Linked DNA regions of Pelodiscus sinensis. The protein of the gene in region 1 interacts with the protein of each later gene in a biochemical or structural test. Links are inferred from orthologs where the notes say so. Each region holds a gene or a part of one and is shown on either strand. Other genes may lie near its edges.

The links.
Region 2: the proteins of guanine nucleotide-binding protein G(q) subunit alpha (region 1) and PLCB1 form a complex in vitro, tested with the Homo sapiens proteins (2 studies listed by BioGRID, with this or other methods). The link is inferred for Pelodiscus sinensis from reciprocal best matches to the Homo sapiens genes GNAQ and PLCB1.

What each region holds. Positions count from the first base shown.
Region 1 is NC_134716.1:37,303,318-37,311,586, reverse strand, and holds the start of guanine nucleotide-binding protein G(q) subunit alpha, read left to right. Parts: upstream 1-4,470; 5' UTR 4,471-4,856; coding exon 4,857-4,992; intron 4,993-8,269.
Region 2 is NC_134713.1:191,612,469-191,620,894, reverse strand, and holds the start of PLCB1 (1-phosphatidylinositol 4,5-bisphosphate phosphodiesterase beta-1), read left to right. Parts: upstream 1-4,622; 5' UTR 4,623-4,789; coding exon 4,790-4,888; intron 4,889-8,426.

The DNA.
Region 1 (8,269 bases):
AGCCAGGGAACATGTACCCTTGGTGTAGCTGTAGCAGCCAGGGAGAGGCATTTCTGGCCATAACCTGCTGCAGTGAGAGTGAGGGTTGGGGTTGTCCTCTCTACCTGGAGCAGCCTGCATATTGAACCTCTCATCCCCAATCCCACTCCAGAACAATAATTTAAATTAAGAGAACAAAAATTATTTGAGTTAAAGACCTGAGCAACACTGGGTAAATCTTCTAGTAAAAAGATTAGGTCCGTCAATTAACACGCATTAATGCCTGCGATTAACGCAGAGCACAATTAATGCATTTTTTTTAACGCATTAATCACAGACATTTCTGCGGCGCTGCCCGTTTGAAATGCCACCAACGCAGGAAGGGCCTGGGATCAGCTGAAGTCCCCAGCTGACCTTGGACTCCAGGCAGCACTGCCCCTTTGAAATGCCACTCCGTTTCAACAGAGCAGCACCTAGGGTCAGCTGTGCGGCACTGCCCTTCTGAAGGCCAATGTAGCCCAGGATCAGCTGGGAACTCCAGTTGATCCCAGGCTCCCATGGCACTGCCCCTTTGAAACGCCGGGGCAGCACTTCAAAGGGGCAGCGCTGCATGGAGCTGGCATCAGCTGGGGAGTCTAGCTGATCCTGGGCTCTCGCAGAGCTGCTGCTGCCCCTTTGAAACACCGCGGTGGCAGCATTACCAAGGGGCAGTGCTGCACAGAGCCAAGGTCATCTCTCGGGATCCGTGCCGTCACTGCTGCATTTCAAAGGAGCAGCGTGAGCAGAGCCTGGAATCAGCTGGGGATTCCAGATAATCCCAGGCTTCCACAGCACTGCCCCTTTGAAACACCGCCGCAGCATTTCAAAGGGGCAGCACACGCGATTAATCATGTGATTAACCACAATTCATTTTTAAAATTGCTTGACAGTCCTAATACTAAATATATCAAGAGTCGCTCATCAGTCTTTCAGGGCCCTAATACCTCTCATTGTATATATTTCCTTTAGGAGCTGTGGTAACCCTCCCCATCATTTAGAACACAATCATATATAAACCATTCATAAATTTAATAAATGGTCCCCCAAAATACTGCATGGGGTTGCAATATTAGTCACAAAGATGTTGTTTTATGAGATATTGAATAAAGCTGAAACTATGATAACAGATTCATCTATGTTGCTGGTATGCTCTCACCTTGTATGCAGTGTTCTGTTTTGGTCAAACCATCTAAAAAAACAGAAGACACACAGAGTGGGTCAACTAAATGGAAGGATTTCTGTACAAGAACAGATTATAAAGTCTGGCACTACATACTTTAGGGAGTAAGAGGAGATATGATAGAGATATACAGCATTATCAATGGTATACCAAGGTTTATCACAAATGCATATTTACTCTCTCTTACAAAGCAAGAAAGTGATGGTAATGAAAATAAAAAGCAACGCATTTAAAACAACACCCTCAATTTTTAAAAGTGACTAATTATCATGAGTACCTCAGTGTTTGGGTGCCCAATTTAAGACACTTTAAAGGAATCTGATATTCAAAGAAGATATGTTCTTCATCACTTCCTGAACACTAGACTCTCCTTAAGGAGTCTTCCAGTCAGACACCCAAAATCCCTAGTCATTTTGAAAATTCAGGCCAATAAATGGAGTCACCATTATATGCAAGATATACTTAAGCTATGGAACTCAGATACTGAGGCAAAGAGCTTGGTGGGAATCACAATAGTATTAGGTATCTCTGTAGTTAATAATTGTATCATTTGCAGATATACTTGCTAGGATAAATATATACAGGGAAAAGGAGATATAAAGCCTCATGATTTAGAACAAAAGCCTACCACTATTCTGATTGGAGTTAGGAAGAAACCCTAGAGGTATATTATTGCTTGATTCTGATTATGAAGGTTTTACACTTTCCTCTAAAGTATCTGGTACTATTCACCTGCAGAGGTAGGATACTAGCTGAGGTCCATTTTTATGCGCTGCTATCGCAATTTCTGTAGTCCAGCCTCATAACATTTTCTATTTATTCTGTGGTTTTTCTCAAGATACATATTGGAAGGTACTGCCCTCAGGTCATATGGCAAAAATCATTGTCATTGGGAGAGATACGTAGAGAATAAATGCAGTATACATACCCAAGAATTCCTACAATTAAATGACAGCTTCACATTTTTAGTATATAGTATTCAGACCCTGGAGAGACTCTTGCAACTCCCTTTAGTGCTCTGAAAGATGAGTCAGACTTCCTCTTCTGAAGGAAGATTACTATAATGCTAGGCCTTAAGGGCTGTGGCTGCTATGCTCTCAATATGCAGAGAGATTTTGATCAGTTATCCTGGGATCTTGCAGATCCACTTGCTATAATCTACCCATCCCCCAGACTTGCTGCAAACACTTTTGCACCATGCCGGGCCCTGTGCAAGCAGTGTGGTGAGCACACAGCATGTTTCCGGCATATGTTCCTTATAACTGGCCATTGTACCACCATTCTGCTGCCTTATTGTCCCTTATTCACTTACAGGTCCTCATCCACTAAGAAGTTGTTCAGTGGAAGCAAAGAGGATTTGACCCCTGTGTCATTGTTCACTTGTTTCTTGGTTAGCATTTTTATATACATGGTAACTGCAAACTAGTGCCTATCAACTGTATCTTTATGTTGCTAAATTCATTGCCAACATATACATAAACCAGGGACCCTAAAACATGTTATTACATTTTAAATCCATTTCAGTTTACTAAAAAATGATTTTTCTGAAATATGTGTTTTTTATTAAAAATAGGATTGTAGAATTTAATTTAAAACTTGTCCATCTTTATTTTAATTTTGTTTGCAAGGTAAACGAAACATATTTTCAAAAATCAACTGAGCTGCAGGGACTATTTTTTTAGTCTGTCAAAAAAATTGCTGAACAAATCAGCACAAGTAAATATATTTTTAAAATTGTGAAACAATGAGAATTATTTTATTCAAAATCTAGAAGTCACTGTTTTGATCATTAAATTTTAATTTTCAGAGCTTGTGATGAGCATAGCTTAATTAAGACTGTCAACATGTATGAGCAGCTGCACATGTGAGCACAACATACTTTTCAAAATATATGCCAACAGGTGCTGGAAAGAGCATCACACATGAAGCTGGCAGGTGAAAGAGGATATGGAGCAAGACAGGATCCTTCTCCATTATAGCTAATTTTAAATGGGGTGGGAATAGGGCAAAATGCAGCTAAAACATCAAGGATGGATGAAAGCTAGGATCCATATCATGTATCAGTCCATAATGTGCCATTGCTCTGTAATGGTTTGACTTAAGGTCTAGTAGTACAAATATACAAGGGGTTTGGAGTTTGGCAAAATCACACAATGGATAACCTCAAAGTTACACCTACAGAAATAAAAAGTAAAACAGATTAATCTATTTACATTTTAGAATCCTAGGTTCCTGGAAGCAAGGGAAGGAACCTACCCATTTTATTTAGTATAATGATTGTTACAATCTCCCCTCCCCCATTGTTCTTCAGCTCAACATATGAACTCCTTGGCATGAACAGTTATAAGGAACGCCTTGAAGACCTTGGGAAACTTTTATTCCCCAAATTTACATTGCCATCGGAAGGGAGAAAGGTTCCGCCTCTTTCCCCTCCTGGGAATTATTCTTTCACTCTTAAACTCTTTGCAAAGTCATCTCTTCCTGGAATAGCATGAAGGTTTATAACAAAATGGATTTTAAAAAAGGAATGAAAAGTAAATACAAAAATATGTTACCCTCCCCAGCCCTGCCCTATAGGACAAATACAAAAAAGAGTGTTCCTTGCGGCCATTTGGTGTGCAAAAGTACTTGTTCCTCCTTCTACTACTGCTATTGGATGGTGGTGCTCGTCTTTGTGTGAAAGCCTGTTCAGTGGGTTTGAAGGTTTATTGCCCTGGGATTTTCCTTTCTGTCTGTAACATATTCCTCTGTCTCGTGGGTTGGAGAGAGGGAGGGAGAGAGAGGGAAGGTCCGCCATATTTCTGCCTTACCACGCCCGGGGAACTGAGCCATTGAAAAGTCAGGCTGGCTGGATACATATTGTGCATGCACCACAGCTCCTGCTTCCCTCCTCTTCTCTCACATTGTCCCCTCTCGCTTCCTCACAGAAAGGGAAAGGCAGGAACACGACGAACAGCTCTGCAACAGCTGCTTTGCAAGCCACAAGCAAGTAGCTCTCCCCCCGCCCCCCCTTCAGCCTCAAAGAAAGCCGGGAAGAAAAGTCCACTTGCAAGAAAACCTTAAGCAAAGCAAACTCCAAGAGATTTTCAAGCGGCAACAAGCAAAAACCACCTCCTGGAGCATCTGGTCTTCAAAGTCAGGGAGGGGGGAAGAGAAACAAGAAAATGTGCGTGTGGAGGGGGGGAGGGGTTAGTCGCGATTAGCATTTCAGTAGGGGGCTGGCTGCTTGGGAGGGAGCTGAGGGGGGATTTCAGCGGGTGTCATTTACAAGGGACTGAGGTGACCGCAGGCGGCAGCGAGGGAAAAGAGGGGGCGTTGGGCTGCTCCTCTCTGCTGGGCACTGCTGCTCCGGTGGATGTTTCCCTGTTGTTTGGTGCATGATTTAGAGAAGAGGAGGAGTTGGAACTAGAGGGTGTCAGAGGCAGGAGATAGTGGGGTTGCGCTGCTGCCACCGCCGCCGGTGGGGGCCCTTTCTCTGCCTCTGCTCGCTGGGTGTAGCATCTAGCGCTCTCCCGGCGTCGGCTGGGCTGTCCCCGGGTGGGGGCTCGCAGGCAGAGGGCGCGTGCCTCCCTCGCTCCGCGGTGCGGGGTGTGAGTGTGTGTGAGTGTGAGTGAGAGTTTTCGGGGGGTGGGGGTTGTGTCTGAACCAGTTAGGAAGAATGACTCTGGAGTCCATCATGGCGTGCTGCCTGAGCGAGGAAGCCAAGGAAGCCAGGCGTATCAACGATGAGATCGAGAGGCAGCTCCGCCGGGACAAGCGGGACGCCCGCCGGGAGCTCAAGCTGCTGCTGCTGGGTAAGTCCGGGCAGGCGCCGCCTTCACCCCAACCCGGGCAGCTGCCCCGGTGCCGCGCCGCCCCTGCTGCTCACACACATACTGGGTGCCAGGGGGCATTGGGGAGTGCAGCTTTGCCCGTGCATGTAGGCACCTATGCAGTCGATATGCCGGTGTGTGGATCCCGAGTGGATATTGTATCCGCGCCTTGATCAGTCTTAAGGGAAAGGGAGTCTGGCTATGGGTGCAGGGGAAGGGAGGGAGGACGCGATTTACACTCAGTTTCCCTGCTTTCGCTCCGCGGGGGCTTCCAATCTGCATGATTCTGTTTATTCGGACTCTGATGATAGTGGAGCGGATACATTTGTGTGTGTGTGTGTGTGTGTGCGTGCGCCCAGATAGCTATAATACACGGTGTTACATGGTGTATATTTGGTGGCATGTTTTGCAAATGAAAATGTAGCTGGGTAAATACATGATTCTGGTTCCTGAAGGCAATTTGATGTGGAATGGACACTGGCCTTCCAAAAATGGAGCGGGGAGAGGACTTGGTGGGTGATAGAGAGATGAAAAGAGAACATAAATGGCAAATACATTTGGGGGTGGGTGTAAGGGAAAATTGCAAGGCAGCAGCTAAATGAAAGGACTCACAGGCGGAGTTGCTTTGCAGATTGATGGTGGCAAGCTTTAATGTCTGCATTGTTCTGAGAGCCTTCCGAAAGATTGCAGGGTGGCTGATTGCTTCATTAAATAAAAATAACACTAAAACATGGAAACGGAGATGAAGGGTTACATTCAGATTATAGGCTAATTTTTTACAATAACAGCACCACCATACAAAGACCATGAAACTGAATAATAACCTACAGTATGTTAGAGAATGACAGGATCTGGAGTATCTTCGGAATCCACCCACTGGATAAGAAATACAATTTACCATATACAACAGAATTTCCTCTTAATTTCGGCAGTTTCTGTACAATAACTGTAATTATATTACAGTTATTGTACAGAAACTAGTGTGTCCCTATTTGACTTTGTATCTGCTAAAATAATACTTTTGAATTAGAAATAATACAATTATTTGGTCATAAGATTTTTTTTAATACACAGTTATCATGGTAGATGTAGTTAATGCTTTGGACTAACAGTGCCTAAAAATGTCTGCACAAGAGCCTGATGTGCGTGTATGTGGGGTTATAAAACTGAATACATCACATGCAAAAGATGTGTATTGTCTGCTTTAGTGCAAATGTACTATCTTGTTTTATACATAAAGGTTGTTATTGATATGGGTTTAAATATGTTAAAGCTGGTTCAAAATATGCAAACATGAGAATGACTTTGTATGACCATATTCTTTTAAATTAATTTGCAGTTTTCCTTCAGTAACACATTTTCTCTTCGGAAGTTGGAATAATGGGTGTGGAGGAATGATCAGGAGAGAGAGAGAGAGATAAAAATTGCTTTGCGTATATGATTTTGGCCTAGTTTTGCACATTGTGATTATTTTAGAATTCAAGACAAGATGTGAATTACAAATTATATAGCTTGCATTTGCTTTAGTTTATGGACACTGACTTAACAGATTCAAGAAGTATTTTTTATCATATTTGGCTTGTCGTACAAGTCCACATGATTTCTGCATTTTCCTTATTTCTGGCAATAATGCTACAGGATTTTGCCCAAGGTTCTACGAAAGTGTGAAGTTTATTAGGGGTGTTTTCTGTGTGCTCCCAGAATGGGGACAAGGGAACTTAAATATATTAATTTATATAATTTCAAAGATTTAGGCCCCAATACTGTTGTCAGTCATGCTCATGCTTAACTTAATGAATGAGTAGTGTCATTGATTTTAGTGGAGTCCATTCACTTGTAAAGTTAAGTAAGTGTATAACTCATGGCAGACTTAGTGCCTAATTTTGGCATTGCTTTAGTTTAGGCCAAGTGAAAGGTGGGTAGTTTCAGTGCAAATAGATGGGTCAGGAGAGCTCTTAATTTATAGAACTATTGAGAAAGCTCAGGGTTTTTCTGTGTAGGTACAACAGTGCAAACCTTCAATGTTGATGTGCTGCATTAGTGTAATGTGAGTTTGCACTGGTGTGGTTTACTCGCAACGGAGAGAAGTGGTCCTGATGCAATACTTGCTTTATACAAAGTAACCCATCTCCAGTGCTCATATGCACAACTGTAACAATCCCACTCCAGAAATTCCTATTGTATACAAGCTGTCACTATTCTACTTTCAAAAGAGTACACTCTAATTAAAGGAGATTGTCAACTTAAAAATCATGCTCCTTACTGTTAATGATGTGTACTGGTGTCACAATTAACACCTATGGTTCTGATTCTACAGGGAGCTCTGTGAAGGCAAACTCCACTTGAAGTCACTGGGTCTCAGGGCAGAGACAGTGATTTGCCTGCACAGAGCTGCTTCCAGGACCCAAATATAAAATTAGTGTACTGAAATAATTTGGAGAGGGGGATATTTTTCAGTTGGCTTGTGTATTTGACAGCAGTTTGCGTTTAGTCACTCCCACTGCTATAGTCTGTTCTTCAGTTTTCCCTGTTGTTTGTGTGGGTCTTTTGTACAACAAGGTGCAAGAGACATTTTAAAAAATCAGAAAAATCATTGTAAAGTCATAAAACTGGTGAGATTCAGAGAGGTGCAATATCTGAAAGTACATCTGTGACCCAGCATGAATTTAGTTAGCTGGATATCCACTTATCATGGGTGTAGCCAAGTTTTCCATGGTCCCATAAAGTTTGTGTACAACCTTGGCTCTCAGTGTTTTCAGTCCCAGTAAGCAGTAGAAGTGTTGGTAATGCTGCTAGACAATATTGACCTCCCGTGGTTTGGAACTGGTCAGGGTGCTGAGCTAGAGAGATTCAACCTATAGTACTTCATTTTATTTTATGTAGGCTTTGAGTAAAATTGTCAAAAGCTACTTAGATTCACCCTCAGTGCCTAAGTCATTTAAGCTTCAATTCCATTTATAACAGTACCCTGGGAATTAGGAGTCTAAGTGGATTAGTTACTTTTGAAAATGGCACTTGTGCTCCTGAGTAGCCTAGCATGAAATTTTCTAAAGTGCCTTTTTTCTGTAAGTATTTCTTCATATAAAATGGTATGAATTTCTGTAATAGGTATTGTGCTCACCGGAAACTGTCAGAACAGCCCATTGTTTTGACTTCGTTTCTGTCTTATGAACACACACACACAGTAGGTGTGTGGTCTATTTTTTTCTGTTTTTTTTTCTATGTAATTTTCTAAGCATAAAAATTCATATGTATAGTA
Region 2 (8,426 bases), on another chromosome or scaffold:
CCGCTCTGCGTCTCCCTGGTCTGCTGGGGGGGGGGAGAGGGCGCGCTAGCTTCGCGTCTCCCTGGTCTGCTGGGGGGAAGCAGCTAGTGTGGGGTTGCCTCACCCCGTTTGTAAGTAGGGATCCGATGTAAGTCGGATCCATGTAACCCGGGGACTGCCTGTATTAGCTCAGGTGAATAGTTTATTTCTCTCTTGTTGAGAAGAAGAGACACAGAAGTCTCTCATGGATAGCCAGTTAGGCAATGGAAGGACCAGGATGGCTATTCATTATTCTGCATGGAGATTCACACATGATGAAACTCCTTCATGTGTGACATCCCTACAGGTGAATTCCGTAGCTTGCTGGGAATGTGAGAGTTTAAGTGATTGTGGATGATCATTCTACTACCCCGACTTTCACCTCATAATTTTGTTTTGCAAGCTCAAACTCGTCATCTATCACACACTATATGCTGGGGTGAAAGACAATCTCAGCTAACGGTACTCTTCTGGATTTACACTGGTGCATCTGAAAACACAGTTTGTTATCATCTCTCCTAAATCGTAGCAAATCAACAGAAATTAAAATACTGCAGTGAGCGAGCCAACTTGTATCCTGATTCATGTGACGTTCATTCTTGAAAGCAAGCTTGATTCGAATAAAAAATAAGATCAAATGGATTCATTGGGAGTGGAACATTGATAATAGTCTGCATAGACTATCACAAAAGGACAGATTTGACTTCCACAGAAGTCAGTGAAAAGTATCCCATTGAAGTTAATGAAAGTTGGAGCAAGCCCAAGGTTTTAACTAGAAGATTTACCCACTGCTGCTCAGGTCCTTAAATAAGGTTTATTAGGGATGAGGGGATTCAGTAGGCAGGCTTCCCTGGGAAGAGGACAGCCTCAGCTCTCTCTCACTGCAGTAGCTCAGGGCAAGATGAGAAGCGTCTGTCCGTGGCAGCTGCAGTGGACACAGCTGGGTGTGGGATGCATGTCCCCTGGCTGGGGGGACCCAGACACAGAAACAAAGGTTGTCTAGACTATCACTTTGAAAAGCAATGCCGCGTCCAAGGAACGCATCCACTTTTCCGAAAGAAAATTTAGAAAAAGTGGACGCGCTCTTTTTCCTTCCCTGTAAACCTTGTTCTAGGAGGCATAAGGGATGTGTCAAAAGAGCACTTCTTTCCCGAAATTTGGCACCATGTAGACACGCCAAATTTTGGAAAAGCTGCTTTCGAAAGTAAATCGGAAAAAGAGACACAATTTGCAATTTAACTCTGCTGTCGAGACATAACCAAACTGACACACAAACAGACAAACTCTCTAAAATATATAGTAGATAGCAGTCCCTTTCTCCACCCTTGTCCCCCAATGGGTTTACAGCTGTCCCAGTCTCCATTCTATGGCCCGTTGCTGCCCCCTGTGGACATTCTAGAGAATAACTGTCCATCCTACCAGACTCCTCCCTTTCCATGTTATGAGAAACAATTGATTTCCAGGCTCATCCCATTGTCCTGGCACAACCAACCCCTGACCTTGCTTTAAGTTATGATAAGAGGAAGGTTGGTATGATAATGATGGCCCTAGTTCTTACCATTTAGGAGGAGTTCTTGAACAAACAGACTCACAGATGGGCGGACAGACAGACGTTGTGGCGGGATGTACCATCCCTGCCCTGGGGCTGCGAGGGTTAAGCTGGATACCTGGCTGAGAAGGCCCTGCCCCCACAGTCTTGCCGGGCATGCTCCAGTTGGAGGCCAGCTATGAAGGCCTATGAAGCAACTCAGTCTGGGCTGCCAGCTGCCAGAGAAGGAGGTTTCGCAGGAGCTCCTGAAGGAGAAGCACTGGTGCACTCAGACACTATCACTAGTCAGAAGGGAACTGCAGCAGCAGCAGCCCCGAGGCTGGAGGAAAGAGATGGAGAAGACTATGCAGGAAAGGGGGTACGAAGTAGCCCAGGGCGGGGAGCTTTATCCCGAGTGCCCTGCATGTTTCGGGAGGATTCCCTGCTGTGGTGATCCACTCCATCACTGATTGGGCCCTGAGCTGGTACCCAGTGGAGAGGGTGGGCCTGGGTCCCCCATCCCCTCCTCACCAACCCCACGGAGTTCAACTCTTCCCGTTACTACGGACTGGCTGCTAGGCCAGTGGGAAGGGAACCCTACTGTTAACTCTGGCCTTTAGCCCACGCTGTTCTGCAGGGAGTGCTACTATTGACTCTGAGCATTAGATCTGACCATGCTATGGAGACAGGGTGTTATTGGGACACTGGCCATTAGGCCTGACTGTCTTGAGGAACAAGGCTGTTCATATTGACTGTGGCTGTTAGGACACGCCGATTGCGAAGGCCTCAGAGGGCCCCTGCGGCAGATTTTAGTTCCTAGATTATCTTCTTGCTATATATTTTAGAAATATACAACAGACAAATGAGTAAATTATTATCTTTTTGTAACTTATTTGTAAAAAGTCTCTAAAACCAAATACCTACACCAAACGAATGGTGTGAAGCAGCACTCCTCGACCCCCCCCCAATTTATTTATTTTTTTCCCAAAGGCTGCTCCCTCTGCATAGTTTGCATTGGCCAAGTCAGAACAAGTTTGACCAGCTGCCTTTAAACCTTAAGAGGTTCAAGCAGAAACCTCTACAGGGAAATCAGGACTCTTACGTGCTGCATCATCAGACACTTTATCTGTGCAGCGACTCTTCAACAGATGGAAGGTCACTGCTAGAGCATGTTTGATTTCGTTCTTCAAACCCTTTTTCTTCAAAACTGCTTGCTTTGGGATGTCACTAGACTGTTAGTGCCCTTTCGGTGTTAACATGAATTGAGAAAAGGATACTTACAATGGACTTAAGGTCATATGGCTTTATTCCAGGCCCACTGAGAGCAATTCTGGGATCCAGGGCAGGACAGTCAAAGGGCCCCAATGCACGCACAAGTGCGGACACAGTTTGCCAGACAGTTGTGCAGTGCTGTGTCTGTGCAGGCTGGTGCCCTCTGAGCTGTTGGCCATGTTGCGGGGCATGCACTTGTGGTATGGCCAGAATGTACACATGCCTGTCCATCTGCCCTCACCACCACTGGTACCAGCCCCTGCCTGTCTAGGAGGCCGGCAGGCCACCCACGCAATTTAAAAGGGGCTGGAGCTCACGGATGCTGCTACGTAATGATGGCCATAGTGGGTCAGATCAAAGGCCCATCTAGCCCAGTAGCCTGTCCTCTGACAGTGGCCAATGCCAGGTGCCCCAGAAAGAATGAACAGAATTGGGAATCATCAAGTGATCCCTCCCCTTTCGCTCATTCCCAACTTCTGACAAACAGAGATACAGACACCATTCCTACCCTATCCTGGCTAATAGCCATTGATGGACCTATCTTCCGTGAATTTATCTAGCTTGTTTTTGAATCCTGTTAAAGTCCTGGCCTTCACAACATCCTCTAGCAAGGAGTTCCACAGGTTGCCAATGCGCTGCATGAAGAAATGCCAGCCCGAGCTGGCTGGTGTAAAAGGGTGTGGATCTCCCAACTCCTGCTGCTGGTCCCACAATAGTGACGGTGGCTGAAGGGCCCTCCCCCGGCCCTTTTAAATTGCCCAGAAGCCCGGGTAATTGCCCCCCTGCCTATCCCTCCCCATCAGTGGGCGTGCTTTATTCCCAGAAAACCTCTGAGGATGAAGAGAACATACAACTTTCTAAACCCCTCTTTCTTTTACGATGTTGTGGCTATGAGGTTATAAACAGAGCTTGGATGGAGTTGATGGTGATGATGGTCTTTCATCACCTCCTTTGTCAGTTTCCGGACTAATGACTCCCCGCCTCCTTGTCTGTACAGTCACATTCCCCCAAGCCCATCCTCCACTCCTTCTGCACTTTATTCTCTCTGAAGAGGTCTCTTGAGCCACCGAACACCCGGCCTGTCCCACTGCACCTGGAGAGCAAGTGGGAGCCAGCTTTTACCCCTGGGCTCTGTGTCCCGTCGGCCAGGGCATACGAGAAATACAAACACACGCCTGGCGTGGCCGTCTGCGGCTGGGCTCTTGTCTGTCCTTTGGCTGCTGCCCAGTGGGGTGTCTCTTGGGGACACTGGTGCCCGGTGAAAGGAGGACAGACGCGGGGGGCGTCACCTGCTGTAAGAATTGGGAGGGGTGGGTGAGATTCTGTGGGGGGTCAGACTAGATGATCATAATGGTCCCTTCTGACCTTAAAGTCTATGAGAATCCCGGGTGGAATCTAGCCTGGGGCTGGAGTCCCAAGGGGGTTTTGCCGTCCGGGGCCAGGATTTCACCCTTCCTGCTTCGCAGCCAAAGCCTCGGTCACCTGCTCTGCCTGTTGGCCCTGCCCCCAGCTGCCTGCGGGGGCCGTGGAAACTGAGGCAAGAGGAAGCGCTGCAGCTGTGCTGATCCCCCTCCCCCCCCCCCCTCCAGCTTCGTGATAGAGATGTAGCCGTGTTAGTCTGGGGTAGTTGAAGCAAAATGCAGGAGAATAGTGATAGAGATGTAGCCGTGTTAGTCTGGGGAACTTTGTCTCGCCTTGCAGAGCGAGGACTCCCCCCCGCCCCCCCGCGCTGCAGCGGCTTCGCGGGGCCGGTAGGGGCCGCTGCCGCCTCGCTGGCAGGCCGGTGACCTAGCGCGGAGGAAAGTTGGGGGCCGAGTCAGCTGGGGAGGAGGCGGAGGGCGGCAGCGCGAGCGCGGCGGGCGCGCGTGTATATAGGATGCGCCGCCGCCGCTGCATGGCTCGGAGCGCCCGCCGCTGAGTCCCGCCGCGCCCCGGCTGCAGCCCGCCCGGCGCTGCCTCCATGCGCTGCCCATGGCCGGGGCACAGCCAGGCGTCCACGCGCTGCAGCTCAAGCCCGTCTGCGTCTCCGACCTGCTCACCAAGGGCACCAAATTCGTCAAGTGGGACGATGTGAGTCCGGGCTCCCCCCTCCTCCTCGGGCACGGCAGCGCCCCCCTCTCCCACGCGTGTCACCCCCCCCTCCCCGGGCACGGCAGCGCCCCCCTCTCCCACGCGTGTCACCCCCCCTCCCCGGGCACGGCAGCGCCCCCTCTGCCACGCGTGTCACCCCCCTTCCCGGGCACGGCAGCGCCCCCCTCTGCCACGCGTGTCACCCCCCCTCCCCGGGCACGGCAGCGCCCCCCTCTCCCACGCGTGTCACCCCCCCTTCCCGGGCACGGCAGCGCCCCCTCTCCCACGCGTGTCCCCCCCTTCCCGGGCACGGCAGCGCCCCCTCTCCCACGCGTGTCACCCCCCCCCTCCCCGGGCACGGCAGCGCCCCCCTCTCCCACGCGTGTCCTCCCCTTCCCGGGCACGGCAGCGCCCCCTCTCCCACGCGTGTCACCCCCCCTTCCCGGGCACGGCAGCGCCCCCCTCTCCCACGCGTGTCACCCCCCCCTTCCCGGGCACGGCAGCGCCCCCCTCTCCCACGCGTGTCACCCCCCCCTTCCCGGGCACGGCAGCGCCCCCTCTCCCACGCGTGTCACCCCCCCTTCCCGGGCACGGCAGCGCCCCCTCTCCCACGCGTGTCACCCCCCCTTCCCGGGCACGGCAGCGCCCCCCTCTCCCACGCGTGTCACCCCCCTTCCCGGGCACGGCAGCGCCCCCCTCTCCCACGCGTGTCACCCCCCCTTCCCGGGCACGGCAGCGCCCCCTCTGCCACGCGTGTCACCCCCCCCTCCCCGGGCACGGCAGCGCCCCCTCTCCCACGCGTGTCCCCCCCTCCCCGGGCACGGCAGCGCCCCCCTCTCCCACGCGTGTCACCCCCCCCTCCCCGGGCACGGCAGCGCCCCCTCTGCCACGCGTGTCACCCCCCCTCCCCGGGCACGGCAGCGCCCCCTCTCCCACGCGTGTCCCCCCCTTCCCGGGCATGGCAGCGCCCCCTCTCCCACGCGTGTCACCCCCCTTCCCGGGCACGGCAGCGCCCCCCTCTGCCACGCGTGTCACCCCCCCTTCCCGGGCACGGCAGCGCCCCCCTCTGCCACGCGTGTCACCCCCCCTTCCCGGGCACGGCAGCGCCCCCCTCTGCCACGCGTGTCACCCCCCCTTCCCGGGCACGGCAGCGCCCCCCTCTCCCACGCGTGTCACCCCCCTTCCCGGGCACGGCAGCGCCCCCTCTGCCACGCGTGTCACCCCCCTTCCCGGGCACGGCAGCGCCCCCCTCTCCCACGCGTGTCACCCCCCTTCCCGGGCACGGCAGCGCCCCCCTCTCCCACGCGTGTCACCCCCCCTCCCCGGGCACGGCAGCGCCCCCCTCTCCCACGCGTGTCACCCCCCCCTCCCCGGGCACGGCAGCGCCCCCTCTCCCACGCGTGTCACCCCCCCTCCCCGGGCACGGCAGCGCCCCCCTCTGCCACGCGTGTCCCCCCCTCCCCGGGCACGGCAGCGCCCCCTCTGCCACGCGTGTCACCCCCCCTCCCCGGGCACGGCAGCGCCCCCCTCTCCCACGCGTGTCACCCCCCCTCCCCGGGCACGGCAGCGCCCCCTCTGCCACGCGTGTCCCCCCCTTCCCGGGCACGGCAGCGCCCCCTCTGCCACGCGTGTCACTCCCCCCTTCCCGGGCAGGGCAGCGCCCCCTCTCCCACGCGTGTCACCCCCCCCCCCCGGGCACGGCAGCGCCCCCTCTCCCACGCGTGTCACCCCCCCTCCCGGGCACGGCAGCGCTCCCCTCTGCCACGCGTGTCAGCCCCCCCTCCCCGGGCACGGCAGCGCTCCCCTCTCCCACGCGTGTCACCCCCCCTCCCCGGGCACGGCAGCGCTCCCCTCTCCCACGCGTGTCACCCCCCCCTCCCCGGGCACGGCAGCGCTCCCCTCTCCCACGCGTGTCACCCCCCCCTCCCCGGGCACGGCAGCGCCCCCCTCTCCCACGCGTGTCACCCCCCCCCTCCCCGGGCACGGCAGCGCCCCCCTCTCCCACGCGTGTCACCCCCCCCTCCCCGGGCACGGCAGCGCCCCCCTCTCCCACGCGTGTCACCCCCCCTCCCCGGGCACGGCAGCGCCCCCCTCTCCCACGCGTGTCACCCCCCCCTCCCCGGGCACGGCAGCGCCCCCCTCTCCCACGCGTGTCACCCCCCCCTCCCCGGGCACGGCAGCGCTCCCCTCTCCCACGCGTGTCACCCCCCCCTTCCCGGGCACGGCAGCGCCCCCTCTCCCACGCGTGTCACCCCCCCTCCCCGGGCACGGCAGCGCCCCCCTCTGCCACGCGTGTCACCCCCCCTCCCCGGGCACGGCAGCGCCCCCTCTCCCACGCGTGTCACCCCCCCCTCCCCGGGCACGGCAGCGCCCCCCTCTCCCACGCGTGTCACCCTCCCCCCCGGGCACGGCAGCGCCCCCCTCTGCCACGCGTGTCACCCCCCCTTCCCGGGCACGGCAGCGCCCCCCTCTCCCACGCGTGTCACCCCCCCCCTTCCCGGGCACGGCAGCGTCCCCCTCTCCCATGCGTGTCCCTCTCTCCCACGCGTGTCTCCCCCCCTTCCCAGGCACGGCAGCGCCCCCCTCTCCCACGCGTGTCGTCCCCTCCTTCCCCGGGCACAGCAGCGCCCCCCTCTCCCACGCGTGTCACCCCCCCTTCCCGGGCACGGCAGCGCCCCCTCTCCCACGCGTGTCACCCCCCCTTCCCGGGCACGGCAGCGCCCCCTCTCCCACGCGTGTCACCCCCCCCTTCCCGGGCACGGCAGCGTCCCCCTCTCCCATGCGTGTCCCTCTCTCCCACGCGTGTCTCCCCCCCTTCCCAGGCACGGCAGCGCCCCCTCTCCCACGCGTGTCGTCCCCTCCTTCCCCGGGCACAGCAGCGCCCCCCTCTCCCACGCGTGTCACCCCCCCTTCCCGGGCACGGCAGCGCCCCTTCTCCCACGCGTGTCACCCCCCCCCTTCCCGGACACGGCAGCGCCCCCTCTCCCACGAGTGTCACCCCCCCCTTCCCAGGCACGGCAGCGCCCCCTCTCCCACGCGTGTCACCCCCCTTCCCGGGCACGGCAGCGTCCCCCTCTCCCATGCGTGTCCCTCTCTCCCACGCGTGTCTCCCCTTCCCGGGCACGGCAGCTCCCCCCTCTCCCACGCGTGTCCCCCTCTCCCACGCGTGTCCCCCCCCCTTCCCAGGCATGGCAGCGCCCCCCTCTCCCACGCGTGTCGTCCCCTCCTTCCCCGGGCACGGCAGCGCCCCCTCTCCCACGCGTGTCACCCCCCTGCCCGGGCACTGCAGCGTCCCCCTCTCCCATGCATGTCCCTCTCTCCCACGAGTGTCCCCCCTTCCCGGGCTGGTGTGTGTGTTGCCTCCAAGTGAATGGCAGAGGGTGGAGGGAATATGTAGTCCAGGAATCCACCCAGGTGCAAACATGCAATCCACCCAGACATATGAAAAAGTTGGAGGAGTAATCTATTCCCTGGGAGGAAAAGAGACAGTTGAAAACTGAGGGGGAAACAGGGTGACAATAAGTATTTCCCTGCCAGC